Linked DNA regions of Notamacropus eugenii. The protein of the gene in region 1 purifies or fractionates together with the protein of each later gene. This does not show direct contact. Links are inferred from orthologs where the notes say so. Each region holds a gene or a part of one and is shown in the gene's direction. Other genes may lie near its edges. The genes, in order: STUB1, HSPBP1, HIF1A and DNAJB6.

What was found.
Region 2: the proteins of STUB1 (region 1) and HSPBP1 purify together in Homo sapiens (affinity purification with western blotting; 4 studies listed by BioGRID and IntAct, with this or other methods). This does not show direct contact. The link is inferred for Notamacropus eugenii from reciprocal best matches to the Homo sapiens genes STUB1 and HSPBP1.
Region 3: the proteins of STUB1 (region 1) and HIF1A purify together in Homo sapiens (affinity purification with western blotting; 3 studies listed by BioGRID, with this or other methods). This does not show direct contact. The link is inferred for Notamacropus eugenii from reciprocal best matches to the Homo sapiens genes STUB1 and HIF1A.
Region 4: the proteins of STUB1 (region 1) and DNAJB6 purify together in Homo sapiens (affinity purification with mass spectrometry; 4 studies listed by BioGRID and IntAct, with this or other methods). This does not show direct contact. The link is inferred for Notamacropus eugenii from reciprocal best matches to the Homo sapiens genes STUB1 and DNAJB6.

The regions. Positions count from the first base shown.
Region 1 is NC_092872.1:53,702,492-53,709,864, reverse strand, and holds the start of STUB1 (E3 ubiquitin-protein ligase CHIP), read left to right. Parts: upstream 1-4,246; 5' UTR 4,247-4,739; coding exon 4,740-4,925; intron 4,926-7,373. Other genes in the region: uncharacterized protein, read right to left, coding at 740-915, 1,148-1,300, 1,770-1,989, 3,027-3,120, 3,786-3,913. UniProt on the Homo sapiens protein: E3 ubiquitin-protein ligase which targets misfolded chaperone substrates towards proteasomal degradation.
Region 2 is NC_092876.1:17,904,378-17,911,922, reverse strand, and holds the start of HSPBP1 (hsp70-binding protein 1), read left to right. Parts: upstream 1-4,483; 5' UTR 4,484-4,625; coding exon 4,626-4,667; exon of another isoform or gene 4,668-4,842; intron 4,843-5,510; coding exon 5,511-5,765; intron 5,766-5,889; coding exon 5,890-6,094; intron 6,095-7,251; coding exon 7,252-7,476; intron 7,477-7,545. UniProt on the Homo sapiens protein: Inhibits HSPA1A chaperone activity by changing the conformation of the ATP-binding domain of HSPA1A and interfering with ATP binding. Interferes with ubiquitination mediated by STUB1 and inhibits chaperone-assisted degradation of immature CFTR.
Region 3 is NC_092872.1:305,216,041-305,223,889, forward strand, and holds the start of HIF1A (hypoxia-inducible factor 1-alpha), read left to right. Parts: upstream 1-4,637; 5' UTR 4,638-4,810; coding exon 4,811-4,881; intron 4,882-7,849.
Region 4 is NC_092874.1:87,373,114-87,380,222, reverse strand, and holds the start of DNAJB6 (dnaJ homolog subfamily B member 6), read left to right. Parts: upstream 1-3,928; 5' UTR 3,929-4,058; intron 4,059-7,109. UniProt on the Homo sapiens protein: Has a stimulatory effect on the ATPase activity of HSP70 in a dose-dependent and time-dependent manner and hence acts as a co-chaperone of HSP70. Plays an indispensable role in the organization of KRT8/KRT18 filaments.

The DNA.
Region 1 (7,373 bases):
TCCCAGAACAACTTCTCAGGCCTGTTAAGATTTTCCCTCCTCACACCTCCGAATTTAGGCTCATGTGTGAAGGCAATTAGGAAGCCGTTTACACCTCCTGCCAGAGCAGTTAGCTGAGAGCTGCTGAGCCACTGGGCCCCCCACCCCCACCCCATTCATTCCCTGAAATCCCATGAGGCTGAAGCTGGGCCCTACCAGCTTTTAAGCACCTACAGCCTTCTCTAGTTTCTGAATTCAGGAAAGCTCCAGTGGGAGGTGTTTCTACTCTGGAAAACTAAGTTCCTTCTGATTTCCACACACACCTAGTTCTGTGAGAATCACTGCTCTATTTAGTTAACACTATTAAACTCTCTAAGGGGGGTGGGGCATCCCCCTACACCACATATAGGACAAGAGAAGACAGGACTGGACATACCTGAGCCTTGGAGGAATTGAACGCAAAGGGAGAAGTGACTAGAACTGCAAAGACAGTTTAAGTGACTTCCCCAAGGGTAACTTAGTGATGGGATTGGAGCTATCCACTCCATCTTCCTAACTCCCAGCTCAGTGCTAGCCTGGGAGGGTATCTAAGGAAGTGAGGTCCAGATGAGGTTGGGATGGAAGGCAATTTTAATGGATGACAGTGGCTACCCTCGGCCCTGAGGCCTCCATGGATATCAGTAGATAGGAGCCTGGCTGCAGGTTACTGTGACTTGATGCATTTCTCTTGGGTGGAGTGTATACAGATAGTGTATACAGATCAGTGAATACTAGCTTTTCGTTTCTTGGAAGGTCTGACATCTTCAGCATCTTCCCTGGCTTTGGGGGCCATCCAAGAAAAGGAGGGCAGGACTGTGGGACACAGTTTTTGGGCCACAGTCCAGGTCCAGAGGCACATTTCTATCTGGTGAGGAGTCCATTCTGATAAAGGATCAACTATGAGAAAAGCCCAAGGAGGAAGGAAAATGAACATGCAACTCTGGACCTACCCAAAGCAACTGAGCCTTCCTGCTAGAGGCCTACCCCGCCCAGAGGCCTGAAGCTCCTTTACCCACTACATTTACACCTAATCATTCCACAAACCCTTCTGGCATCAGAGATATCTAGGCAGTCTGTCAGAGACTGAGACTACTGTGATACACACATCCCTCCAGCAGTTAACCCTTACCTTGGTTCAGTCTCTTAGCACAGGCCCAGATCTTGTCCAGATACAAAATATAATGTTTGAGAGTATACTGGAGCACAGGAAGGTCAGGGACTGCAGCCACTGCCTCATCTGCCATGAATGCTATTGTCTCTGGGGCACCTGCAGCCAAAATTGCTGAAAGAAGTATAGCTGGGTTATGGGAAGGCAGGGGATCCTCCAGGACCATCCATACATTCCATGGAACCTAAGGCCTGAATGTCACCTCGTCTTAAGCAAGTTCCCCTGAACCCCTAAGTTACCACTTCTGCTGGGGCTGATTTGTCCTCTCTTAGCACGAGGTCAGATTTGGCCATTGGTTAGAAAAATGTTGAACTGGACTGATGAAAATGGCCTAGTACTAGTGTTTCAAGGCAGCAGGTGAGGGAGGGGATACTCCCAAACCTCCAGAAGAGCCAAGGAAGGAATGAGTGTCTTGCACTCTATCAGCATCAGTCATTTCAGGTCACACATACTTTTCCACCCACTGAGTTGAAGAGTCAGACCTTAGGATGTTGGAGATAACACACCCAGGTTTCCCTCTCCACCTCAGAACATCCCCTGAGGGACCAGCAGAGCCTGGGCTCAGTCTTGGTCCAGAGGTTACCAAGTGTCACCGGTCTGCTGGGATCCACCCTTGGCTCCTCTCCTCCTCCTCTTCCCTCACCAGAGGCAGTAGCTGGTCCCACGGCCTTCAGCTGGCTCAGCTCTGTGATGGCAGCTTCCACATTGGGCAATAGAGAGAAGGCTGCTGTGGTGCACCGCTTCACCATCTCTTCCGGGTTAGTGGCCACCAAATGCTGCAGTCGTGGTCTGAACTTGCCCCTCTAAGCATGTATGGGGAAGGACAGGGCAGGAGGGTAAGAACAGGGTGAGAATATACAATTGAATTCTTAGTGACCCTCTGTTCAGCCTCACAATCCGGATGTCCTGGGAGGTTGTCACACAGCTAATAAGTGGCAGAACTGAGATTTATGACCAGATCTTCTGACTGCAGGTTCTAGGCCAATTAACACACTCCAATCTCTTCTCCTTAGAACCCTGAGTCTTCTTTCAATGGAAATACTATTCCTATCAATACAATTCCTGTCAATTGCAGCCTTTACCCCAACTTGAAGAAGAAATCCTATGTCTTACAAAGATGGGGATGTGAACAGAGAAGGTTTTATAAACTTTAAGTCCAAAAACTAAACAGAACTTTTGGCTGGGGTTTGACTTCATTAGGGTGGGAATTAGAAGACTTGAAACCTAGTTATAAATCTGGCACTAACTCAGTATGTGAGTTTGGATAAGTCACTTCCCCTTTGCTGGGCTTGTTTCTGCCTCTGTGAAGTGAAGGGGTTGGACCATAATCTCCAAGATCCCTCTAACACTGGTATTCCATTTCGCACATTCTAGAACCTAGGAAGGAGAGTTAAGGATACAGTCACCTACCTATCCATCACTCACTGGATATCAATCAATCAATGGGCATTTATTAAGTGCCTGCTATTTTTGAGGCACTGTGGGTACAAAGACAACGGAAAGTTACCGCCTTCAAGGAGCTTACATTTCCTTGAGGGAGAAAACATACGTGTGTATGTGTGTATATACACACACATACTCATGTATACATACACGTAAGGAGATGGAGAGAGAGAGAACAGAAGAGATAGACATAAAATAAATACAAGATCACTTAATTTGGGGAGAGGGAAGGAGCAGTTTTGGGAGATGAGGACAGGGACAGGTTTAGAGTCTGAAGGAAGGGCTATGTGAGGTCACCCCTCCGAATGGGCCTGAGAATTTCTTTTGTGCCTTCCCTGTTGGGCCTGGATCTATGTCCATCCCTACAGACACCACCTTATTCAGATGGGGAGCTTACCGCCAGCTTCCATTCCATCAGCTTCACCAATTCATCTCGAGTTAGGTATTTCTCCTTTCTCTCCCTTATGGAAACTGGCAGCTCCTCCTGATACCTGAAACGGGCATCCACATACTACATGTATGTAGTGGTGACAGGGAAGGGTCAGGGCAGGTCACTGTTCCATGGGGACAGCACTCCCCAAAGTCTACCCTGGGATCTGGAAGGGGGGGGGGGGAACTAAGCTGCCTTAGGGCAAGGTGCCAGACAGTCCCGCACACGGATGGGGTTCCTGTGTCCTGGACCCTTTAGGGACTAGCCCGATGCCCCTCAGATACCAGGGCCTCTTTGAACAAGGGAAATAGATTTTCCTAGGGTCCAGGTTCTCAGGGAGAAGAGAAGAGAGGCAGCCGGGCCTCGGACCCTGTCTGGCCATCCACCAAGAACCCGGGGGGAAGGCTTGTGAAGGCAGCTCTTACCCCCACTCTCCCTGGCCTTGAGCGGTCCCGACTGGGAGGCCCACTACGTGCGGCTGTCCGTCACACGAGCACCCCAACACCCACCCATGAGTCCTTCCACGTGTGGCCCCGGCTCCCCCACCCCGTGCGGGTCAGTCTCGTCTATCGCGCGCCTCCTGTGTGCGGGCGCGGTGCTGGGCACAGGGCAGTCTCCCCCTGCTAGGGCCCGCCGCGGGGCGCTGCTCCCCTCCCTCTGCCCACCCCGCTCCAGACCCCTGCGGAAGTGGGGCCGAGGTGCGGGCTCTGGAGGAGGCGGGCTCACCACGCGTCCAAAGCCGCAAGCTTGCGGGCCTTGCCCGCTTTGGCTCTGACCACCTCCTTGTAGCAGCCCAGCACTGCCGCCCAGCACCGGGGGTCGTCACAGCCATACAGGCCCCCGCTCGGGCCCATGGCCCCAGCCCCAGGAAGCCGGGCACCTCCTGAGGACTGGGGGCCTCTCCGAACCGCGACCAGCCTTCCAGGACCCTAACTCGGGTGGGAAGAGATAGGAGAGAAGGGAAACCGGCCCTCCCTTCCCCACGCAAGCCCGCCGCCTCCGCCCGCGCACGCGCAGACACGCTCTGCGCCGGCGAGCCTTCTCTCCACCCTCCTATTTGCCCCCGACCAATCCCACTCCTTTAGAGGCGGGCTCTCGCTCCCAGCCCCGCCTCTTTCCCAAGCGCGCTCCGCCTCGGCCCCGCCCTCCACCCCGAAAGCATAAAAGCCGTGCGTCCGCCTCGTCTCGGGTCCCCGCCTTTCCTGCCGAGCTCGGCCGAGGTGCGAGGCCCAAGCCCTCCAGTGTTGCTCTTACGTGCTGATGGACCCAGCTGGCTTCGGGCCTAGCCCCACCTCTTTCTTTCGGTGCGCCGTCTCCCGCTGGTCCCGCCCCCTCGTGGGCTCGGCCTTTCCCCCGCCCCATCTCCTCGCTTTTCCGGCGTCCTTCTCCACAGGCTCATCCCTTCTCTTCCGGCCCCACCCCCCTGCTCTCCCGGCCTCCTTGCTTTCCCGGCCGGAACTTCCGGTTGGGTGACGGCGCTGGGTCTCCGCAGGGAAGAATTCGGGGCTTTTTGGGACCGGAGCTCGGGGGTCCGAGCCGAGCCGCGGGCGCTCTCTGTGGGCAGCGCCCGGGCCAGGGCGGGGTCATACCTGAGTATTGCGCACCCCCGGGGCCGGGGGCCGTGACCGGATCACGGGGCCGGGCCGGGGTAGAGGCCGAGGCCGGGGCCGGGCCGGAGCCATGAAGGGGAAAGAAGAGAAGGAGGGCGGGGGCGGCGGCGGCGGCGGCGCCCGCCTGGGCTCAGGGGGCGGCGGCGCGGGCAGCCCCGAGAAGAGCCCCAGCGCCCAGGAGCTGAAGGAGCAGGGGAACCGGCTCTTTGTGGGCCGCAAGTACCCCGAGGCCGCGGCCTGTTACAGCAAAGCCATCGTGAGTGCGGAGGACCGGGGGCCGGGGAAGGGGCGCGGGCCAGAAGGGGAGCGCGAGCTCGGGGGGAGGGGGTGGCCTGCGCTCCCAGGGTCCCCGCCGAGTTCCGAAGCCTCTCACAAAGAAATGGCCCGGGATGCCTTTGTCCCAGGTGAGGGTCTCGGGGCCCAGGATCGGGGCTGGGAGCCGCGGCGGCCCAGGATCGGGGCGGGGAGCCGCGGCAGAGGGAAAGGCGCTTCTGTCCTTGCAGAGCCGAGCTCAGGCCGGCCGGGCGCGGGGGAGTGTCGTGTGTGCGGTCATTCATCAGAGGGAACCTAAGCCCCGCTTCTCTGTGGTCTGCAGCTGGGCAGGGGTCAGGGCCGAGCCTTACAAAGCCAGTAATTCATTTCTGGGGCTTGAGATAGACTGTCTTTGCTGAATGCAGAGCTTGGAAGTCTTGTTCCAGAATGCCAAGGAGTGCCACCCGAAGGTGCTGAGATGAGAGTGGCGCGAGTGAATTTTTTTTCTGAGTTAACACGAACCTTTCCTTAAATGTAATTACAAATGTAACGTTCTGGATTAGGCAGAGGAACCCATTTTTATTGGTCTTTCCTTCTAGGAACATTTTAAAGTGATAGGTACTTGTACTGGTGCAATTACTTTTTACAACAGTATCTTATTTACTGGAAAAACTAAAAAATCATTTGTTGAATTGCAGAGCTTTGTTCTAGGGGCTATGGAAGAATAAATATCGGAGCAAAGTGCCTTTCCTTGGGGATTCTGAACCAGTTTGTTTTGAGAATGTGCCATGTTGGGTCACATAATGATAAAGGGTTGGAGAAAGGGGCTATGTCTTAACAGTTTCTAGGGACCGGCTGGCTGCTTCCCTTTCCCTTGTAGAGTTAGAGGCTTTCTGGTTTCCGTGCCCGGAACAGTGGATAGTATCCGAGGAGGGAAGGAGAAAATAAGGAATGAGGGTGTTAAAGAAGGGGGGGAAAGGAGGATCTGAAAAGACAAAATGGGAGGAGGAATCTAGAGAGGATAGTCTAGGGAGAAAAAAAGAATCCCAGAGTTCTGTGTGTTTGGGGTTAAAGGAAGAGTAGCCTAGTGGTCTCGGGACCAATGAAAGGCTGGTCTCTGAAGCTCCTTCAGCAAAGGAATGACTCCTAAATGTCTGATAGCTGGATGGCTTAGTTGGGGCATCAGGGCATGTTGGAGGGAGTGTGGAATCAGGAGGAGAAAGTCCTGAGTTCATAAGTCAGCTTTGTTTCTTACTATTTGTATGATCTTGAGCAAGTCATGTCACTTCTCTGGGACACAGTTTCTTCATCTAAAAATCCCTTCTCTGTTGTGGGACTCAGTGTATGGAGTGTAAATGAAGGAATGTAAAATTACCTCTTAAAGTCCTTCCTGATTCTAAATTCCAAGAGGAAGAATGTGTGAGGTAGAACATTTGGTGACTCAGGCTATTTAGCTGCTTAGCTGATGAGGCTTTCTGTTTATCTCTATTTATTTATCTTAATGTAGCACCTTGTATTTGTCACCTGCCTGGCTTCCTGAGCGTGCTTTTCAGGACTGTGGAGGTGGCTTCATGCCTATGGCTTATGGCTCAGTTGACTCATAGGTGAACTTGAGTTTAGGAAGGGACCCATTCACCAACCTAGGTCCCTGAAAAGCTGAGAAGGGTAGAGACCTCACTTGAGAACAGACTGCCAGATATCACCCAGATCTAAAAAAAACCTAACCAGGACTAAGGATGGTTTTCTCCGGATACCTGCTCAGGTGACTCTGTAGATGGTTTGGAGGATGGAGCCCCTGAGGTGACAGCTCAGGGATAGCCTTTTTTTTCCTGTGGTGAGCTCTAGGAACCAAATCTCCTTTCCTGTAAAACAAGTCAAGCCAAAGGTTTTCCTCTTGCTTGATATCAAAGACTGAGATGGAAGAAAGGGTCTCAGAGGGGGAATGAGCTAGGCAGGCACTGAGTTTTACATCCCCTGCACCTAGGACAGTGTCTCCTTTCCATTGTATTTGTCCTGCAGACAACTGGGCAGGACAGAACAAGGCAGGGCTATGGGACTTTAGGGGTTCCATCCCGTTGTGCTCTTCCATATATCAAGGGAAGATGTTTCTGAGCTGACCGTGGAAGGATGGTGGAGCAGAGAACAGTGATAGGACACGGCCTCTGAAGACACTAGGCTTCCCCTCACCACCTCCAGTATCACAAGGCTCACACACAGTCACACCGGTCAGACTCCTTTTTCTCAGTCTAGTTCTTGTGACTTTGTTCCAGCAGTGACAGCTTGGGCTCTTGCCTGTTTGTAGCAATAATCGATCAGTAGTTACAGTGCCCAGCTCTTGTTTCTGGGCTTCCCTGGTGGGTGGAGACTGACACATACTTTAGTCCACCTCGTTCCTCATGGTCCCCACTGTGAGTGGCTGGGGGTGACACCACTAAGGTCCAATCGTTGGTTC
Region 2 (7,545 bases), on another chromosome or scaffold:
GCTGATATAAATCCTACCTGATCATAATGTATTATTCTTGTGATAAGTTGCTTTATTCTTTTTGCTAGTGTCTTATTTAAAATTTTTGCATCTATATTCATTAGAGAAATTGGTCTTTAATTTTCTTTCTCTGTCTTGGCTCTTCCTGGTTTAGGTATCAGAACCATATTTGTACCATAAAAAGAATTTGGTAGGACACCTTCTTCACCAGTTTTCCCAAATAGTCTCTATAGTATTGGAATTAATTGTCCTTTAAACATTTGATAGAATTCACTTGTAAATCCATCCAGCACTGGAGATTTTTTTCCTGGGGAGCTCATTGATGGTTTGTTCAATTTCTTTTTCTGAGATGGGGTTATTTAAGTATTCAACTTCCTCTTCTGTTAATCTAGGTAATTTATATTTTTTAAAATATTCATCCATCTTATTTAGATTGTCAAATTTATGGGCATATAGCTGGGCCACATAATAGCTCTTTATGAAGAGTAATTTATAGTCAGTCTGGAAAAGCGGCCTAGAGCTAGATTGCTAAAGGGCTTATCATGCCAGACAGAAGAGCTTGTATTTTATCCTGGAGGAAAGGAAAGTATTTCTTCAGTGACTACTATGTGCCAGGCACTGTGCTAAGTGCTTTGCAGATATTATCTCATTTGACCTTCACAACATCCCTGGGAGGTAGGTGCTACTATTGTCATGCCTGTTTTATAGATGTGATTACTGAGACAAACAGAGTTAAGTGACTTGGCTAAGGTCATACAACCAGTGTGAGGTCTGATTTGAATTCGGATCTTGCTGACTTTAGGTCCAGAGCTCTATCCATTGTGCTATCTGGTTGCCTAACAGGCGATAGGGAGCTATTATAGATTCTTGAGTAGGGGATGAATATGGGCAAACAAGTGCTTCAGGAATATCACTTTGGCAGCCCTGTGGCAGATGGACAAAAAAAGGAAGGAGACCCATTGAGAAGTTACTGTAAAGATGACACAGGCTGTGGGACTGAATGAGAGTACTTGTGGTGTGAGTGGAGAGAAGAGCCAGATTTGAGAGAGACACATACACATGCACATACAAAGACAGAGGCAGAAAGAGACAGAGACACATAGAGACAGATAGACAGACGACACAGAGAGAGACAGAGAGACAGAGACAGAGAGACACGGAGACAGAAAGACAGACACAGAGACAGACACAGAGAGACAGAGACAGACACAGAGAGAGACAGAAAGATAGACACAGAGAGACACAGAGACAGAAAGACAGATAGAGACACACAGAGAGACAGAGATACAGACAGAGATAGAATCAGACAGACAGAGATGACAGACACACACATACACACACTCACACACACACACACACACACATAGAATAAAGGACAGAAAACTTTTTTACAGAAAAAATTGAGCCCATTCGCTGTGAGCTTCTTCTCCTTTTTGTTCCTTATCACTCTGATGCTTTATGCCCCTCTCTCCTCCCTTCTCCCTGACAGAGGAGGTGGCCTGACTTCTGACTGAGGCCAGTCCATCTACCTGCTCAGGGGATCCCATCCATCTCCTACCCTCCAACAGGTCATCCTCACTTGCCCCTTTTTCCTCAGTCTCTCCCTTTCTACTGGCTCATTCATCCCACCTCCCTTGCTTGACCCTTTCATCTCTGCTAACCATGGTCCTATGATGCTCCTGCTCTTTGTAGCTGAGCATACCATACCACATATCTGAACTTGCTCTCCTCTTACTTCCTTCTTAACCCCTTACAAACTGACCTCTGACCTCATCATTCCACTGACATGGCATGATCTTCCAGTGGCCAGACCCAATGGCCTTTTCTCTCTCCTCCTCCTGGTCCTCTCTCTAGCCTTAGGTGCTGTGGGTCACTCTCTCCTTCCTCTCTGACCACTCCTTCTCTATCTCTTTGTATGGGTCCTTCTCTAGGTCATGCCTCTAATCAACCTCAAGGTTTGGGACTGGACCTGCTTCACTTCATGGATTGAATGAGCACCTTTATGTTCCCATGGATTGAATGACCACCTTTATGCTGATGATCTCAGATCTACCCATCCTGCCCTGACTCTCTGCTGACCTCCAAGTTTAAGGTCAATCAGCACCTTCTTGCATAGCTCTAGTGAGGGGGGAGACCCTGGCTCTTACTGGCTTCCTACAATTAATACCACATCTGCCTCCTGGCAACTCCCATCCACTGGGCACTCTAGGTCCTGCCCTTTGGGACCAAACCCTCCTCTCTTTGATGACACTTCACATACTTGAAGGTCACCATCATGTTCCCTCAAAAGTCTTCTTTTTCTAGGCTGAATATTCCCAGAAATCTCCAACAGAAAGCCCTTCACCGTTCTCATTGCTTTCCTGTCAATGTTCTCCATCTTATTGGTGTCCTTGACATGTGAAGCTCAGAGATGTATACAGCATCCCAAACACGTTCTTACCGGGCCATATCTGACCAGGTATGTCCTTGTCTCTCTGCAGTATTTGAGACTGCTGACTTCCTCCTTCTCCTCCTACTTCTCCTGGATAATCTTTCCTCTCTGGGTCTTCTGTGATCCCCCTCCCTCCTTGTTCTCCTATTCATCTGACTACCTCTCAGTCTTTTATTTTCTAGGTCATCGCATATAGTCTACCCCCTAATATCTCTCCTGCAGTGCCCCTTCTCTCCTCTGACACTGCTCCCACCCTGGTGCAGACCCTCATGCCCTCACACCAGAACTATTGTACTAACTGCTGGAGTGTGTGTGTGTCTATCTGCCTCCAGTCTCCAGTCCATCCTCCATTCAACCACCAAAGTGATTTTCCTAAAGAGCAGGTACATCCTTATCTGGCATATAGTAGGTGGTTCATAACTATTGACTTGTGTTTATTTGATTCTGTCAGTGTCAGTCTGATAGCAAGGAGGCTGCTTGCTCATCATCTCCCAAATTGTGGTTATCTTCTGGAAAAGTCTAAACCAGTCACTCAGTCTATCAAGAAATGTTGTACCACAGGGTGGTGCTATTAAAAAGATGGGAAAACGACATCAGAATGTCAAAATAATAACTTATCAATTCCACTGTGTGTATGGGGTGGGAACATTGTTGTCATTTGTCCTTTGTGCTCCAAGAGGACCGTGACATCAGGAGGTGATGCCATGACATGTAAGTGAATTGGATTTAAGTGAGGCAGGGCTGTGCAAAGTCATCAGCCTCACTTTGTCCTCTGAGGTCATCTGGGTCCTGTGGCCAGATATTGATCAGGACCCCTGGAGATGGGAAGGTGATGTTCCAGTTGGAGGATATGAATCTTCTTTGTTTATGGGCTCCATCTTCTACAGAAAGCCTTTCCTAACTCCTTAATTCTGTTGCCTTCCCTCTCTTAATTATCTCCTACTAATCCTTTCTAGTTTCTTTGTACCTGTTCATTTGCTCCATTAGATTGTGAACTCCTCTTATGGGAAGGGACTGTCTTTTGACCCTTTTTGAATCTCCAGAACTTAGCATAATGCCTGACACTAGTCTAATAAATGTTTGTTGACTAACTGTGGGGTGAAATAAAGGCTGTCCTTTTCCCTGTATGCTCATAGTATCTTGAGGTGCTTACCTAGGAATTGGAGAAATCTAGGTCCAAGACGTACCGGAGGTTTTCCTAAAATGCAGCTCTGATCTTGCCCCTCCCTACTTACTGTACTCCAGAGGCTCCCTATCACTTCCAGGATCAAGCACAAAATCCTTTATTTGACCTTCAAAGCCCTCCTAACCCAGCCCCCTCCTCCCTCTGCAGGCTCTTCATCCAGTGATAGTAGCCCCCGGGGTGGTGCCCCATGTCTGAGCTCTGGGCATTCTCTCCGGCTGTGTCCCCCGTTGCTCCCACATCCCTCTGATTCCAGGGCTTCCCCCTTGTCTCTCCGATTCCCCATGTATTCTGCATATGTTTGCCTGCTGTTCCCCCAACTTCAGCCCCTTGAGGGCAGGGACTGTCTCTTGGCACCCCCAGTGCCTGACACTTAGTAGCCAGACTCAGAGCCTCGAGGGCACGCTTGGGGACCAGGGAAGGGGGGGTCCTCCCCTGGACCACCTGCCTCCCGCCATCCTGGGTCCACCCTGGCTATCCTGATGGACTCGGGGAGAGGTTCCCCGGACCCCCTTCCACCCAGCCCAGCCCAGGGCAGGGCTCCTTCCTCCATTTCTGCGGCCACATCCAGCGCCCGGCACGTAGTAGGGGCAGAGCACGTGCTTGCTGAATGGGTGTTGGATGGTGGAGAGTGGCTAGAGGATCATCGTCGGGCAAAGGGACCCCGGAGGGTGTACACCCCTGAGCTGATTATGTGGAAGAAGGGCTCGTGTGCGTGTGTGCGTGTGGCTGTGTCTGTGCGGCGGAGGCGGCAACACCTTCCCTCCTCTTCCCGCTCCACGCCTAGGGAAGCAGCTGCGAGAACTACAAGTCCCAGAAACACTAGCGGGAGCGACGCCGACAGCGGTGAGACTGCGCAGTGAGGCGGCGGGCCAAAGGGTGAGGGATTGGACCGAGTCAGGCAGAGGGCGGGCCCTGAGGGCAGGGCGGTCCGGAAGGGGCGGGGGAAGAGATAGGTCAGATGGTGACAAGACTTAGGCTTGGAGAAGGGGTGGGGGGGCCCTGGATCCCATGGAGGGGCGAGGCTGGCATGTGCGGGGAAACCCAGGAGAGGTGAGAATAGCCAACAAATCTCCCCTCCGCCCGGCCCCGCCCCTCGCCGCCGTCATGTCCCCGCCGGAAGTCAGGGCGCTGAGGTGAAAGGTGAGGCTTACGCATTTCCGGCAAAGATGGCGGCGCCCATTGCGGGCAGGTGCGGGCGGCGGCGTGGGTCTTGAGGCCCGCGGAGGTGAGGCCCGGAGGGCGCGGGCACGGACCCTGGGGAGTGCCGAGGGGACAAGGCCTGTTGTGGAGAGCTGCGGGGCTTCCGGAGGGCGAGGGTTTTGGAGCGAGGGGGCAGAGGCCCTGTTGCTATGGAAGGCGGCGCTTGTTGCTAAGGAGACAGGGAGGCGTCCGAGCCGCCTGCCGAGGATAAGAGGAGGGGGTCTGTTGCCATGGAGATGGGAGGCTTTGACCGAGAAGTTAGGGAATGGATGCCGAAAGCCGGTTGCCATGGAGACGGGGAAAGGGATGAGGGATGTATTGCCGTGGAGTGGGGGAAGGGAAGGAAGGGCTGGTCTTTAGAAGGAGAGGGCATATGTTGCCATGGATACAGGAGAGGGATGGGTTGCTGTGGAGATGGAGGCACGCAGGTTGGTCTTTAGAAGAAGAAGAAATGTTAGGTTGCCATGGAGCCTGAGAAGGGAGGTGTTACCAGGGAGATGGGGAAGGGTCCATTGCCCTCAGATGAGGGAGGGTGGGTTGCTATGAAAGTGAGAAAGTGTTGCTTTTTTTAAAGACAGGTAGGGGCTGGTGCAGGCCCCAGAATTAGGGAAAGCAGGGGAGTCATGGAACCCAGCCCTGTGCCACCCTCACTCCCTTCCACACTCAGTTTCCCTGTTACCCCATTTTTTCCAGATTTTCCAAAACACGGATCAGCTATCTTCAGGACATCTCCCCAGTCACACCCTTACCCCATCACCCTTGATGGCAGACTCAGGTTCTGGAGGGAACCGCCTCCCCCTGGCCCTGCCTCCGGCCCCGGAGGAGGCTAGTACGTCTGCTTCCATGGGGAACCCCTCGCATCCCCACAGCCTTCAAGGCCTGTTGCACATGGCAGTGACAGCTTGCCCTGGTGACCCTGAACTCCCACCCGAGCCCATGACGGAAGAGGTGAGACCTGGATGTCAGGTTCTGTGAGGTGATATGGGGAGGGGACTTTTGCTTCCTTGGGTGGGCAGGGGCTGGAGGGCAAATATAACCAAGCCCCCCTGCCTCCTCCTGTCCACCACGCCAGCGGCGTCAGTGGCTGCAGGAGGCCATGTCCGCAGCGTTCCGAGGCCCACGGGAGGAGGTCGAACAAATGAAAAGCTGTCTTCATGCTCTGGGCCTACCTACACCCCCCACTGCTGGGGAGGCTGAGCTGGCAGCTGACCAGCAGGAGCGGGAGGGAGCTCTGGAGCTCTTGGCTGACCTGTGTGAGAATATGGACAATGCTGCAGGTAATCCCTTTGCCTCTTTCCTTCTTACCTTGTTCCTCTCCCACGCCATCCCTACCTAGCCGAAGAGAAAGATTAGAGGAACCTGTATGTCTCAGCATCATATAGCAGGTGGAATCAGAGTTTTCACCAGATCCTAGATCTCTTTACACTGACTTTCTCAGGGGGGCCATAGTTCTGTCTGCACACTGAGGTGGAAAGAGCCTCAGCCAGAGTTCCTGGGTTCAGATTTTGTTTTGTGAACCTGGCGACCTTGCTGCAAAGTCTCTTGTCTGGGTTTTAGTTTCTCTCCACTCAGAGAGTTAGTTTCCCTAACATGAGCAGGTGAGGGCTGTGGCAAGTGTCCTTCTGTGCCTGGTAGTCAATACTCACTGATCTAAGGTGGTGAGTAGAAGTTAATGGGAGAGTTCTGGATTGGGCTTTACCCTGACTCTGGGCAGATCTTTTCTTTTTTCTGGCCCTTGTTTCACCCCTCTGTGATGCCTGAGGACCCAGAAGTCGCTGCCATTCTGTGGCCTGTTACTCCCCACACCCATATTGTCAAATAAGGGATGGTCTCATCCTGCTGCTCTCCAGCTGGGTGACAGCATCTGTCCTGGGGTCAGCCAGCTCCTTTCTGTGAGTGAGTCGAGCTGGCTGATCTCCAGGTCTTTCCCAGGCTAAGTTCTATTAAGAAGACTTGGGCTCTGTGAGACAAACAGTGTTCACTTCATGGGAGAAGTACCTAGGAAGCAAGAATGAGATCTAAGTACCAAGATCTAAGCAATGATGAGGGGAAAGAAAAAACTAGAGTCTACAGTGATCCACAAGAACTGCCTCAGTGGCCTCTGGCCAGTCAGAGGAGCAGCTTGTCACCCACCTGGGAGAGCAGGGAGGGCTCATTTAGAGTTCATTTTTAAAGAATAGAAGGGTGGGATAGAGTGGATCAAATGAGATCATTTCTGTCAAGACCTTTTGCATTATTGAACATGTAAAGATCCCTCTTGGAAGTTGTAATTTAAAAGGGTAAAGGGGAGGGAGCATATTCCAGGCCTAGAAAACTAAGAAAGGATTTAGAAATCCCATGATCATAGCCCTGACTGGACAGAAACTTTGACCATTCCCTTAGCAGACTTTGTATTTACCTCCCTCCACTTTCTCCTTTTCTCTTGACTGCCTAGATTTCTGCCAACTGTCCGGGATGCACCTCCTAGTGGGCCGCTATCTGGAGGCAGGGGCAGAGGGCTTGCGGTGGCGGGCGGCCCACCTTATTGGTACATGCAGCCAGAATGTGGCAGCCATCCAGGAGCAGGTGCTGGGTCTCGGTGCCCTAAGAAAGCTCCTTCGACTGCTCGACCGGGACCCCTGTGACACAGTGCGAGTGAAGGCCCTTTATGCCATCTCTTGTGAGTGTGAGGCCCCTAAGACCCTGGGGTGGGGGATGTGGTGGGGCCAAGGCTTTGGGAGTGTAGGCA
Region 3 (7,849 bases), about 250 Mb from region 1:
AAATATATCACTTATTATAGTTAGATCATGATGGGAAATAAGCAGCAGTGTTAAATATTGTGGAGGTTTTTTTCTCTTATTTCCCATGCTTTCTTGCCTCCTTCCTAGAAATGGAAAAACTCATAGAGTTTGGGGTTTTGAAAATGTTCCAAATAATTTAGGTTTTGACAAAGCCTCAAAATACCTCCCTTTCAGTTTTTCCGACTGGAAGGTATTTGAGGGGAAATTTCATTAAAGATCATTACTTCAGTAACTTACATACAGTAAGTATTCATTAAATGTTTTGTTGAATTTGGATTGAATTATTTAATTAAATTGAAATCTGAGCTACACTAAGGAAGAAAAAACCATGGTACAAAATTAAACCTTTGGTTTTGTATGAATTGGTGACAATTTGTCATTGAAGAAGTATGAGCTATTTCTCTAATGAACATCATTTAGAATTCAGAAAAGTGCTGCTATATCAAGTCCACTCATATTCCACAGTCTGACTAATATATTTATTTCCCATACAGATCCTTTCTATTTTCATACTTTGCTTCAAATTTCACACTTCAATTCTATGCATTATTATATAGTCATTTTTTGTTGTTGAGAAAAACAAAACCTGGAAGCAATATTATGCCAGTTATTGCTTATTGGTCATGGTAGCTTCTTAAATATTGTAACAATTTGTAATAAGATGAATTTCACAAGGTTCTTTTTTTTTTTTTTAAAGGAGTTAGATGCTTCTTATCTTCTGGTAACAATATAGACTTCAGGTTTTACCTTGTTTACTTCTGAGTCACCACCCAACCTTTATTACTATAAAAGTTATGGGCTAAATAGTCATTTATAAGTAATCCCAAAGTTTACTTAGGAACTATTGCTAATGTGAGTTGAGTGAAACTTGGATACTTAAAAAAGCTAGGAAAAGTGGTTAGCTGAGACCTATGCTTCTGAAGTAGTGATCCAGTTTAATAGAGTTATATGTGATTGAGGAAAAATAATTCTATAATTCATCGCAGGGAGTGTGTCTTCTTGGTAGCTTTTAAATTACTTTTTAGATATCTCTTCCAATGAAAAACTGAATTTTGAGGCACTTTTAGGACTTTCAAAGTTTTACCTCCTGTTGATTGAATTGCTAGAAGGTTTGTGATTTAGTTTTAGGTAAAAAATAAAAAGCCACTGTTGATGGTTCTTAAGAATGACGTCAATTTGCTATTATAACAATGGTTTTATTTTGAAATGGTTTGATCACACGTAAATGTATGTATAGTCAGTCACTGGCTACAGAGGATGAACAATAAGTATCCAAAAGCAACCACATTGTAATCACTCTAGGTTACTGAATTGGCTAATTTTATTAGAGCCCCCAGTTATCATTAGCTAAGGAACAAATGACTGATTTAAATAAACTAAGAGGAATGTATATCAGTGTGTAAAATTACCAGTATTGTCCTCTTGCCATTTTGCAAGATGTACACTATCTAGTTTTTAGACACCTCCTTATAGCTATATGATTGTACAAAAATAAGAGATAGTAGCTTTGTAAAAAAAAAAATCCAGTCTTTATTAATTTTCAACCTCTCATTACTCTAATTAAATTATTAAAGTAGACATATCCCATATATACATACATATATGTATACGTATATATTGGTTAACTGATCACAGTTACATGTTTTTTTCATTTAGACTCTTATTTTTATGTATCCTTGAGGGTGAGACATTGTAACTTCCATATTTGCATATCCCACCCCCATTGTTGAAATAATACACTGAAGGGTGACAAAAACATCACATAAATTAAGGATGCACATTCAGAACATGTTTATTGATTTAAGGAGGGAAAAGGGTACCTGTGACAGATGAAAAAGAATAGGACTGAAACATGATTTCAAAGTAAAAAGAGATCACAAAATGTCAGAACTGGATAGGCCCTTACAGGATTCTGTATTCCAACATGTTGGCCGATAAGGAAACTGAAGCTGAAACAGAGGCAAGTGGCTACTAATGTAGGAGTAGGACACAGTTCTTCCAGTCCAATTTTCTTTCCATCACATTGATGAGGTATGTTTTCTACCTTTTTTTTTAACCATTAAAGCACCATAATTAATATACTAAGTAGCATCCATGATACATTAGCAAAGGAGAATTAGTGACTAAGGCAATGTTATGTTGATTTTTGGTTTAGTGGAACTATGCCGGTTCCATGGGAGGGCACATAAAAAGTGCTTAAGAATGCTTTTGGGTTGAACGATTAGAGTAAGACTTTATAGCTTTCCGGCTTCTATGTGAATCGAACTGTAAACAATTAAACCTGAAACCAGAGGGAAAGAGGGTGGGGGAATCTTGCCCAATCTCATAACTCAACTAAGATTCTCCCTTAATGGAGGCATGAAACAAACCAAAAAATAAATATTTTTACGGTACCAAACAACCATAGTTAATTCTTCCTTCTTGCAACATTCAAGTTCCTTATCATTTTCCCTGTGTTAAAGTAGAATGAAAACTTACATAAAGCAGTTTTTACATACATAAAAAGTAAGAATATCTTGTCCATTCTTAGTGCAACTTTCTACTGTTTTCTTTTGCGATTTTGCCTAAAGTTTTTGTTTGTTTGTTTTTGCCTTTATATTGTAACGAAAACCTAGATCCTAACATTTGGGGTTAAGGAGACAATTCCACCGTATTCCATGCCAAGTATAGGGTACTAGTACTAGCATTTTGTGGATTAGCAAAAGGGACTAAGCCTATAGCTGAAGGAAACCGTAATAATGCATTAAAAAACAACAGGGTAAATAGCCCTCAGTCGTGGGACATTACAAGGCTGCTTTTCAGGAAGGGTGCGTGGAGAAAGGGACAAGAAGCCACACGATACAGGATGGAGGAATGTTGCCCCTGAAAATGCAACGTCGGCCTAGTACCCGACGCCTGAGATCCTTTTCAGCAGCCCGGGCTAGCGAAATCCCGCCCCTAGCAGCTAGGAAAAAGAAAAGACAACGGCCGGCGAGGCTGGGTCCCGCAGCCACCCCAGGTCTTTTTCTCCCTCCTCTTCCCACCAGTCCCCCAGCTGCATCACAAGCCAAGCAGGACATCTCAGCTGTGCCTCCAGCTGACCACCAGCCGATTGGCCTAGGACGGCGAGGGCTGGGGTGGGGATAGGCCGGCTCGGGAGCTTCCCATTGGTGCTTGGGGAACCGGCCTCCCCCTCAGGTGAGGCGGGTATGCGCCTGCGCGTTCCTCGGGATTCCCCCCGCCCCCTTTTTCCTTCCTTCTTTTTACTCTTCCCCCCACCCACTCCTCCTTACTGGCGCGCGCGCGCGCTCGCGGCTTTGCTCCCTGCCCACTCTCCCCCCCCCCTCAGCCTCCGGTCCTCCCTCAGCCTCCGCCTCCCGAGCCCTCAGAGCTGCCTCTGTGGAAAGAGGAGGGAAGCCGAGAATCGGCGCTGCTGCGCGCCGGGCCAGGCCGCGCTGACAGAAACCGGAGACAGAGAGAGCTAGACTCGAACCCCTAGGATTGTCCGGACTCTCCCGTCCTCCGGAACGTTCTGGGTTCCTTTTTCCTGGAGGGAGGTGGTGGTGGTGGGGCCGGGGACCGCGTGTGTCCTTCCCCTTTTTAACCGCCGCCTCGGGATCGCCTCTCTACCCTCTCCATCCCCCTTCGTTCTCTCCCCCCTGTGCCTCGTGTGTGAGAAGCCGGAGCTTAAACCGGAGCGGACCGGGCCGAGGAAGCGCCTGGTGGCGGGGGCGCTTAGCCATGGAGGGCGCCGAGGGTGCGAACGACAAGAAAAAGTAAGTAAAGGGGGATCTCGCCGCCTGGCGCCCCTAAAGCCCACCACGCGCCGCCGGGTGGGGGGGGGGCGGAGGCGGGGAAGGAGAGATGTAGATGGAGGAGTGCAGGGGGGAGGGGGCCGCTTCTATTCATTTCTCCCTACCCCCCCTTCCTCACTCGGCCTCCCCCCCTTACTGTCCACGTCGCCATCTTGGTGTGGGGGGTTGGAGAGCCATTGAAAGTGGGAGTCCGGGACGACTTCGCCCCTGGTCCCCTCCCCCGGCAGCCACCGCGCGGGCGCGCGCGCACTTCCCTCCTCCCGATCGCCCCCTCCCCTTGCGACCCCAGCCTGGAAATCCAGCCTTGGAAAATCAAGCTGCTTTGGCTCCCTCCGGGTCAGCACGCTCTGCCCCCGGACGAGGCTCCCTCCCTCCCTCCTTCCTCCGTTTACTCTCCCTCGATTCTATTGAAAACCCCTCCGGGGGAGGGGAGCTGCAGTTTGACCCGGCTGAGCCCTGTAATTCCCTCCCGGGCCTCAGGTTCTGCACCCCGTGGTAATGTGGTGTCCGTGTTCTGTGATTGTGTCCTGCCGGGCCGTGAGTCAGGCAGCGAATTGCGATCGTGTTGTTGTTCAATCTGGAGGCCCCCTCCCCAAGCGATCAATTCTCTTCTCAGCTTTGTGTTTTGTCAGATTGGGGGTGCTCGGCTGGCACTTATGAAGCGCGACGTGCCAAGGGAAGAGTGAGACGCTAGCGGCATTTACGGAGAACACCCAAAATTGTCCTTTTGTATTGGTAGCCAGTGCCAAGGGAGAGTCTAGGTGTAGCAGATAGATTTGACTTCCTGAAGTACGTTAAGGGAGATTGAGTGGATAGGTAAACGTCCGAAGTGACCAAAGCGCGACGCAAATACAGCAGAAGCTGGCAAGGTCTGAGAATTGTTGGCTTTGCCCATTTTCTGGCCCGGCTCTCGTTGTGTTAAAATCTTTAAGAAAATGTCAGAAGGAAGTAGCTGTTTTCATGGAACTTCTTTAAAGGTGTAGGTAGGAAACATTATGAACTTTAAGAAGAGTCAAAGAGTTTTAAAATACACATATTTAAGGCCTTGGAATGATTTTGAACCCAGGTACGTTAACTCCAAAATGTAATTTCCTAGTTGAAGAAATTTTGTCTTGTGTCGTGTGTGGATTCTAGAAGGAAACTTTGTAAAACATTGAAATTATGTTGGTGTTCCGTTTTGGTAAACTGGTCTTTATTTAATGATTAGCCCTTCCAGTCTCTATCTGAAAACGATATGTTTGTTTCATATTATCATGTTTTTTGGAAATGTTATCTTGGCCCATTTGAAGTAGAAACTTTTGAGGAAGGTAAATAAGGTGTAGATAAAATTATTTAACATTTTTACAGTGTAAAAAAGTTAATTAAAAAGTTAGTTTCCTTCTCTGTAAAATGAGGGGACTGGACTAGGTAGCTTCTAACGTTCCTGTCCAGCTCTAATCTAGGTCTATGACCCTATGAGAAATTAACACAGAGGCTGTTATAGAAGTTAGCAGGAATGAATTGCTATTAATTTCATAGAAATAATTATAAAGCTTTTGCCCGAATTGGATTGTACATCTCAGCTTAGAGAATAACTTGATATTCTGATTGTAATTTACATTAATTTTGTACGTGAAGGTGCATTAAGCAAAGTTACACACTTCCCCTTTGCAAGTAATAGTATACTCCATTACACTTTTGTTCCAACAACCAGTATTAATATTATGACATCATGAATGGTATATGGGTCCACTCATTTGAACTGGGATTCTTATGACTGTTAATGACTTTTTTTTGCCTTTGTGTCCTCCATCCCTAGAAAAGTGACTTCCATATATTAGGGACTAAAAAAAATATTGTTGAATGTAGAAGTTTCTTTTTGAAAGCTAGTAATTTTTGCATATTGAGGTACTTGAGCAAGAACCATTCTGTATTTGTATTGCAAGTTAAATGAAGAATCCAGTCATATAAAATATAACTATGCATGGGACGTTATTGCTACTCCCTCAGTCTGGGTTTTGTGCTACTCTTTTTTAACATTCTTAGCATAGCTTGGTCTAATAGACTTGGAGAAGATCTTAAGAAGTCAACTTGTTTAGTCCTCTCTCTTAGGCAGATTACCACATCCAGACTTTCTAAAGTACATGTCCAGTGTCATAAATATCTTTGTGGATAGGAAGTCCATAATGTTCTAGAACAAGTTTTCTTAATCTGGACTCCCTTGGTTCTGTGCATACATTTCAGTGGGTCTGTAAACTTTCATAGGAGGAAATCATTTATTTTCAGTAACCATTGTTTTCCTCTGTAAAGTATGCATTTTATTTCATGAATTTAAAAATATTCTGAGAAAGGGTTCATAAAGTTCGTCTGCTAAAGGGATCCATGGCACACCTTTGTTGCTTCTCATAAGTCAAGATTCTTAATGTTTCTTGAAATAAAATGCTTTATTGCTGCATTTTAAACCTGTTTCTTCTTGTCCTTCATTAGAAATGGAAAGTTTTAGTATAGTTTTATATACTTCAGTTTGCTGTCACCCCTAAGAGTTTGCTATAGTTTCAACTTTTTTAACTTCCTTAAAGGTCCTTATGAATGCTTTTATTCTCTGAATTTGATACAGCATCATCACCTGAAAAATATGAAATTCAAAACAAGACTCAGAACCCTAAAAAGAACTTACCAAGTATGTAATGGAACAGAATTGATGCTTTTTCTATTTTTCTACTAATAATGCATTCTTGAATTGTTAGTTTTTTAACAGTAGTATGGTATACACTAGGGTTTAGTTTGTTTCTCTCAGACTGGGTCTTTTTCTTCCAATAGTTGGCTTTTTGGTCCATCAGCAATGCATTTATTAAGCCTCACCATGTTCCAGCTATTATGCTAAGTGCTGAGGATACAAAGACAAAAGTGAAATAGCCCCTGCCCTTGAAGAGCTTACCTTTTTATAAAGAAGACAACAAACACATTTTTAAAAGTATTTGTATAATATATACAAAATGCATACAAAGTAGTTTGGGAGGAAAATTCACTAGTTAATAGCAAAATACCTGACATTTGTACCAGAATAAATAAAAATATCATAGAATCTGGATTCAAATCCCAGCCTTGGGCAAGTCACTTAACCTTTTAAAATATTTTAATTTCACCAAAGTTATGGAATAGACGAAATATAAAGCAATCTTTGCTAAATATAGTCATTTCTCTCCACACACAAAATGGTGTGCTTAGCAGTTGAATCAAATTAAATTGGTTGACTCATTCAGTAACAATAAACCTCCCAATTTTTTACATCTTTAAAAAAATTAGTGCAACATATTATTTTTCTTTAGTCATTTACTTGTTTTACAGGACCTGGAATTGAGTTCATAAGATTTTGACACATATTCTTTAAATTTTCATCATGGAAGTGCACTTAACATACTAGATATATTAAGCATAACTTTGATAAACAGATAGCCTATAGAGTTTCATTGAAATTTAAGTTAGACAAGTTTCAGGGCCACTGACACATACATATTTCCATCTCTTGGACAGATTTCTTAATCTTTTGTGACATGGTGCACTATTGTGTTGTAGTGTTTGTTCATCTCCATTTGAGAATTTCTGTAATCCTAGAATAATTCAGTTTAACAACATATATCAAGAGGCTCATCATTATCTTCTCTTTGTAAGTAAAAAACCTCAAACATTTTTTGAGTGCATGTTTTACAGTATGATGAAGATGCCCAGATCTTCCAGGTACATTTGGATTTGTCTTGGTATAGACTTGAATGAAAATTTGAGTTTCATCAGTAAAAATTACCTTTTCCCATTTTTTAGTACTCTTGTCTTTATATTGCCTTACACATGACAGTTCCTTTAGTAATGGTTAATAGCTAATTTTTACTAGTCTTTTACTTCTAACTTTAGAAAGCTTAGACAGCACTTAAGAGAAATCAACAACTTAGCCTGCCAGGTCCTTCTGAACATATTTTGTAAGGATTAATGAGACTTTCACAGCAATAATATCTAATAGTCATTAAGTGTGCTCTTTAATACCTATAACTTTTGCACAT
Region 4 (7,109 bases), on another chromosome or scaffold:
AGCATAGATTTTAGGGGAGTCTGTGAACTTGGATAGGAAAAAAAAATACATCTATATTTTCATTATCCCCAACTGAAATTTAGCATTCCCTTTGATTGTGAATTTAGACCAAAAAACATTCTGAGGAGTAAAGAGGAGATTCATGGGCTTCACCTTAGTGCCAGAGGCCCTAGACACAAAAAAGGTTGAGTTCCTTTTTGCTTCAGGCAAAAAGTTTCTGCCTTTTACCTGAGGAAGATGCAAAGAAGGGAAAGTCCTGTTTTTTTCTAGCTGTCACAGTGGGAGGAGATACCTAGGATCTGAGAGGTTTCTCTTATGTAACTTTCCCCTAAGAAAGGAAGGAGGAGGAGGAGAAAGGTGTACTAATCTGCCAATTTTACTCCTCACTATGGTACCTGGAAGTAACATTTACAAAATAAACATGAGCAATGGTGGGGGAGGGAACTCTGGAAAGGCCTTGGGCTGAACCTTGAAGGAAAGTAGAAATTCTGAAGAACTGGTGTTGAGTAGTGCATTCCAGGCCTGAAGGGCAGTTTGTGCAAAGGCTTGGAGTTGGAAAGGGAAAGGCCTGTGTAGACAACAATAAATAGGCCAGTTTAGCTGGAATGAAAAGTATGGGCAACCAGCCCAGACAGGTAGACTGGAGCTAGATTTGGAAGGGCTTTAGTAGACCTGAGGAATAACATTGTCAGATTTGTGCTGAATTGACTCAAGGTATTGACAGCAATTCTTTTCTTGGAACAGTAATTGAAGCTATGGCACTTCTGTGTCCTCCAGCAAGGGAAGCCACTCTTTCTAAGTTAGTGGTTCATTTTTATTTTTTTAAACTGTATTTTAATGTCCTTTGGTATTGAACATAAGATCTGAGGGAAATCAAACAGGCCATCATTGCTGTCATCATCATACTGTCTTTCCAGGAATTCCTATGGAATTTTACTGTATGGAGTTCTACAGTTCAATCTAAAAACTTGATATTACTAATTAAGTTGTCTTTCAATTGTAGTTGCAAGTTAGATGTCATAAACCCAGTTCTATATGGCCTTAGTAAATTAGGGCCACTCACTGTGTTTGAGCGCTCTTTGTTTAGACCCTATATTTTTCATCAACTCATATGGCAACTCATCTATACTAGTAGAGGAAAGGAAAAGGTCCAAAGGAAAAGATGTGTTTAAAAATTATGAAAGGATATTTGTATAGTCCCCAGAAGCCTTGGGAGAACTGGAGATGGAATTGGGATGCTGTGGTCCTCTGAATCATATCTGAATTGGGGTGGTGTAGCTGTTCTGAAGATGTCTTCCTAGACTTCCACACATTTCTGATGTGTTATATAGATGTTCCTCCTATAGGGGAGTTTTGAGGTTGGTTATTGGTTGGTAGCAAGAGGTTACTTGTTATCTTCATATACAAAGCTATGCCTTGGGATCTTTGAGCACAGAAAATGACTGAGGGGGATGAGAGTATGCAACTGGAATGTTTCCCTGATAAACTCAAGGTTTGCTAATAAAGGGCATGTGGAGGGTCTTTTCTGTGCTATAAGGTCATCTAAGCCCAGATGGAAACCTATCTATGAAGTTATTATTGAGAAAAGTGGGGGAGACTTTGTATGGTTTTAGCAAAAGAGGATAATGCACATTTTTTTATAAGACGCATGCCAAGTGATGTGGGTATGAACCTTCCAAGGAATTTTTCCTTAAATTATCTGGCAAATACCAGAAAAATGGCCTTGGGTTCTTCTTCCAAGTAGCAAGGCCATGGCCTTGGGATTCTGCATGTGAAATGCTAACCCAGATTCCGTAGGGGAGAGGGAATAAATTTCTACTACACAAAGGTCTTAACAAGGTCTTATTTATTAATACCACTGAACTGTGTATAAAGATATGTATACATGTGTACAGATACTTGTACAGAGCATGAGCAGAGATTCTCCATTGGGTTAAACATATACATTTGACGCAGGGATGAAGTGTTCAGTGCTTGTAGATAGTAAGGCAGTCCCCTTATTGGTTGCTGAGAGGTAAGAGTAAATAGCTTAATATCTGGTACAAGATCTCGATTTGGGGGGTTCTGAGTGAGAGTGAGCTAAGTGAACACAGCATCAGAAGTAGGTTTGACATGAATATGGTTCATCTTCAGGAGCAGGGAGCTACCAAGTTGCCCAAGGAGGAGTGAACAAGTCCAAGTTCAAAATGGAGGTCAAAGCTTCTGCGTCTATGAGCAGTGGAATCAGCCCAGGAAGAGTCTCTGTACTTTTAGCATGGACAACATAGAGACAATCAGTCTTTTTTAAAAGAAGAGAAACAATCTAAGGCATTCCTCAGAAAATAAATGGGCAAAGCATACGAACAGGCAGTTTTTAAAGGAAGACATCCAAGCTATCGACAATTACATGAAAAAATGCTCTAAATCACTAATAGAGAATACAAATGAAAGCTACTCTGAGATTCCACTCATACTTTCCACAATGGCAAGGATGACAAAATCAGAAAATGACAAATATCAGAAGACCTCTGGGAAAATACACTCACTGATGGTGAACCTGCCAATTGGCCCAGCCATTCTAGAAATAATTCTGTTGTTCAGAAAGTTACCAAACTCTCTATATCCTTTGCCCTAGCTACATCACTACCCTCTAAGAAATCAGAGAAAAAAGGATCAGTGTGTGCAAAAATATTTATAGTAATTCGCTTCATTTTAGTTCAAAATTGTGAGACAAGGAGGTGTCTTCCTACTGGGTATGGCTGAAGGGACTGGGGTACATATGAATGTGCCAGCTTAGATGGTGAAAGGCCTAACTCCAGAGGTAACGGGGAGGACCTTCGTCAGCTGAAGCGTGACAAATCCCAAGTCCCAGAAGATGAACAGGTCGGCCCATCCCGATAAAAAGGGGATCAATTTAAAATGCTGAAACAGGCCCCGGCTCCGGAGGCTCTGCTCTCCAGTTTAAAAAAAATACTCGGTGGGATGGAGTGGGAAAAAAAGGTTAAGGGGAAAAGAACTTGCTCCTGAACAATAAGAATGGCCAGCTCGGTAACAAGACCGCAAGGTCATCCTGTGCGTGAGGCTGTCGTAGGGCCCAGTGTGATTTTCTGTTGGAGACTAGGGCGGGCTGGGCAGACCCGAAAAGAAGGATATTAAGGAGAGCTAGGCCTTCGCGGGCGCTTCCACGTGCCAAGCACCGTGCTGCCCTACGTCATCATCTCATTTCATCCTCACGACCGCCCTGGGAGGGTTTTACAGATGAGGAAACTGAGGCAAGCACCACGGAAGCAGCTTGCCCCAGTCCCGGAGGACCCAGGGGGGGCCACGCGGCGAGGAAGGAGTCCGGGGGTCCCCTACCATGGCCGGCCTTGCTCAGATGTCGGGGGGCCCGGATCCGCCGGATCTGAAGCGGGGAGGCGCATGGGGAGGGAGACAGGCGGGTTGAGGAAGAGTCCTCTCCTGGTCCCTGGATCGTAAGCTCCACGAGGGCAGTGATACCTTTCCCCGAAGGCCGGACCCCTCTAGGTGCCTCATCAGCCCCAACGGTCGCTGGGGGGAGGGGCGGCGGCCTCAGCCCTTTGACGTCCCAGAGGGCGCCGGAGCGTACGTGGATTTCAAGGGGGGGAGGGGAGGGCCGCCACTAGGCGGGTGGGCCCAAGGCGGGGGCGGCGGAGTTTCCCCCACCGTCGTTCACTCGGCGGCCGACAGATGGCGCCAACGGCCGCAGGCGGCCTGAGCGTCTGCCGAGCGAGCGGAGAATTTTCGGGAAGGTGGCGTAGGGGCGGGGCGTAGGAGGCGCAGGGCTCGGGCAGACGCGGCAGCCGCCCCCACCGCCGCGGTCGCCGCCTCCAGCTCACTGAGTTTAATGGTGGAAGGGAAGTGGAGCGTCGCCGCGTAGCTCCGACGTCTGACGCACTTCCTGTTTGTTGTTGGAGAAACGGAGAGAAAGGAAAGCGCGAGGAGTCGCCGCCGCCACCACCAGCACCACCAGCACCACCAGCAGCGCCGGAGCCGAGAGGAGACCGCGGGCTTCGCCGCCCAGCCCCTCCTCCCCGCCGCCAGCTGTCAACCCTCTTCGGGTAAGGAAGACCCCTGTCAGGGCCCGGGGCTCAGGGAGGAGAGGTCCTGGGCTGAGCCGCGGCGGGGCTGGCCGGACTTGTCCCCGGCGCCTTAGCAACGGCGGTGTTGCTGACCCGCCCAGCGCGCCGGCTCCCGGGGCCTTGCGGCCTGCCTGCCTGCGCGGGGCGGGGACTCGGAGTGTCTGCTCCCAGCCCCGACCGCCGGCTCGGGTGTCCTTGCCCGCCGCCGCCGGGCATCCGGCTCTGCGGCCCGGGCCGTTGGGGGAGGGGGTGGAGGACGCGTCCGGGCGCTCGGGGCCTCGCCGAGGATTCTCAGCTCGGCCCCCACCCGCCCTCGGACTGGATGGGGAAGAGGCTGAAAGCCCCCGGATGGTCGGGGGTCCTTGGGGGGGCTCTCGTTGGTCTGCGGGGGAAGGCGGAGGGATTTCTTCAGTGTCCCTAGCTAGTGCAGTACCTCTCTTCCTGTCATCGCGTGACCAAAATTAGGCCCCTTCTCCCCCAAAATGCAGTTGGTTAGATGAGAATGTGAGCGCCTGACCGAGATGGGCACGACGTTTGGGTGCCCTCGGGCATTTTTCTCGTTCACTCAGCATTTATGGACGGCCTACTGTGTACTAGGCCCGGTGCCAGGGGTGCGCTTACCAAGAAAGGCAAACACCGCGTCCCTGCCCTGGAGATAGAGAGAGGGCGCCGGAGGTGGAGGAGCCTGTTGTGGGCGGTGAGGGGGTCCGACGCTGCGGAGACGGAATCTGAGCGTTCGCTGCGGAAGGTCGGGCTGGAGTCTGCGAGGGTGGCGGGGAGGCGAGCGGAGAGGCCCCGCAGACTTTGGGGGCGCAGGTGGGACCGCTGCCCCTCTTTCAAACCTTTTTTTTGGGTAAACTTTTTATTAGAATAAAGGCAGGAGTTGGAGGAAATAAGGTAAGAGAGGCAGGGGAGATAATAGCCGCTAGTAGAATTTGTTTGGTACTTCACAGTTTACTAGCCCTTTATTAGTATTAGCTCATTTTATCCTTGACACAACCTTGGGAGATAGGTGCTGTTTGATGAGGAAACTCAGGCAGATAGGCCTGACTTCAGATCCATCGAATTATAAAACTGAAAAGTAAACATCTCCTTCTCAGTGGTATAAAAGTAACTTGTAGTTCGGTTTTACCTTAGAAAAACAACCGATTTGGCAGTGCAGTTCAGGTTGTATAATTCCTGGTAAAGTAGTGGTAATCAGTTTTTAAGAAAGTATAAAAGAAGAGAAATCTTAAACCACTATCAAATTTGTTCACTCCGACTGTACTTATGAAAGTACGGTTTCTAGTTGTTTACCTTTTATAGAATCAGCAAGTCAAATAAATGAATCTCCAAAAGGTATTAACATTGGATAGAAACAGCAAACAAAATTTGGGAAATAAGTAAAATGTAATATATTTCCCTTAATTCTGATGTGGCTTTAGACACTTGCTCAGATTTGAAGTTAGGAGAGAAAATTCAGCTTGACTGCCTGCTCACTGTAAAGTGTAGGTACTAAAGGGAGAATTTTGCTTACATAAGAGCAAAAAAGGAGTGTGAGGGTGACAAGAATGAACAAAAAAGTGACTTTGTAAGTAATTAAGTGTTTAATCGAGATTTTGAATTGGCCTACCCTCACCTCCTCTCAGTGGTTATCATCATAGTTTTACACCTGAAAGAAGTGGGCTTGCAAGCTGTTTTTTTGCTCTGGAGGTCAGAATGATCCAAGGAGAAAGATGGATGCCATTCCAGTAGTAGCTACTGAGATGATTAAAACCTGGAAAAGTAACACGTTAGTATGTCAAAGATGTTTGATTGAGTTTAGGAAATTCGTTCAAGGAGGAAATTCTGCCAGTGCTTATCAGCACTATTTGATAGTAGAAGTTGCTACCTCTGTAATTTAGGTTCTCAAAGAGTTGCTTGGGACGTGAGGGTAAATAATTTGTCTGGAGTCACATAAGTATGCCAGTTAGGGTTTACATCCAGATCTTCCTACTTACAAAACCAATTTTCTGTTCACTTTTTGATACTGACTCCCATAATATGTCTCCCTCCCCCCCCAAATGATTTAGGAAAAGTGGGCTCTAGGGAGTGTTACATATATGTACCTTTTTAAGCAACAGGAAATAGTGTAATATAGAACGCATTAGACTGATGGTTGGGATGTATCAAGTCCTATTCAACCACTTGTGACCTTGATAAATAACTTATATGCTTCTGTTTCTTTATCTGTAAAGAATTGAGGTCTTAGCTCTAAACTAGGTCTTGGCTCTAAAACTTTTTACTGAATATATTTTATGAAACATCAAACATCTCATTCTTTTTAAATGCCTCAAAAATCTCAGTTTCATGGGTTTAGATATACTTTACACATACACTAATTCAATCTTTTCATTGCTTTAATGGACAGTTTAACGTAGGGATTCTTAATCTCTTGTGTCGTGGATCTTTCTGGCTATCTGGTGAAACTGTGGAGGACCTCTTACTAGAATGTTTTTAAATGCATATATTATATCAAAATAACAGTTGCCAAAATGCAAAACAGAAAACAAAAATCATCAAGCAAATCCCCCCCAATAGTTTGACACTTTCCCAAACCAAGTTAAGAATTTCTGATTTAAAGAATTGATGTACCTGCAAAAAAGTAACCTGTGAATTCTCTGTGCCTTTCTAAACTTCTTTTGAGTGGCAGTCCTTCACCTATTCAGGCCCAGAAAGAAACCTTTCCAGGAGGTACAAATTTTGCTCTCTGGTGTAGCCCTGGGTTGTTGTTGTGTCTGTCTTTCCTTACTGAAGACCATGACATCAGAGAAATGATGACATGACTTGCACTTGACTTTATTTTGAGTGAGGGAGGGCTATGCAGGTCACCAGCCTCACTTTTCCAGAGCCATCTGAATCCAGTGACCTGATATTCCTCTGGATGAACTGGAGATGACCCAGGATACACTAGAAGACCTTGGCCCCTTTAGGCCGAGGTCTATGCAGGTACTCACTTAGAGTGAGGTAACGCCCATTCATTGAATAGTCCTGTTTAAGAAGTAGGCAGGA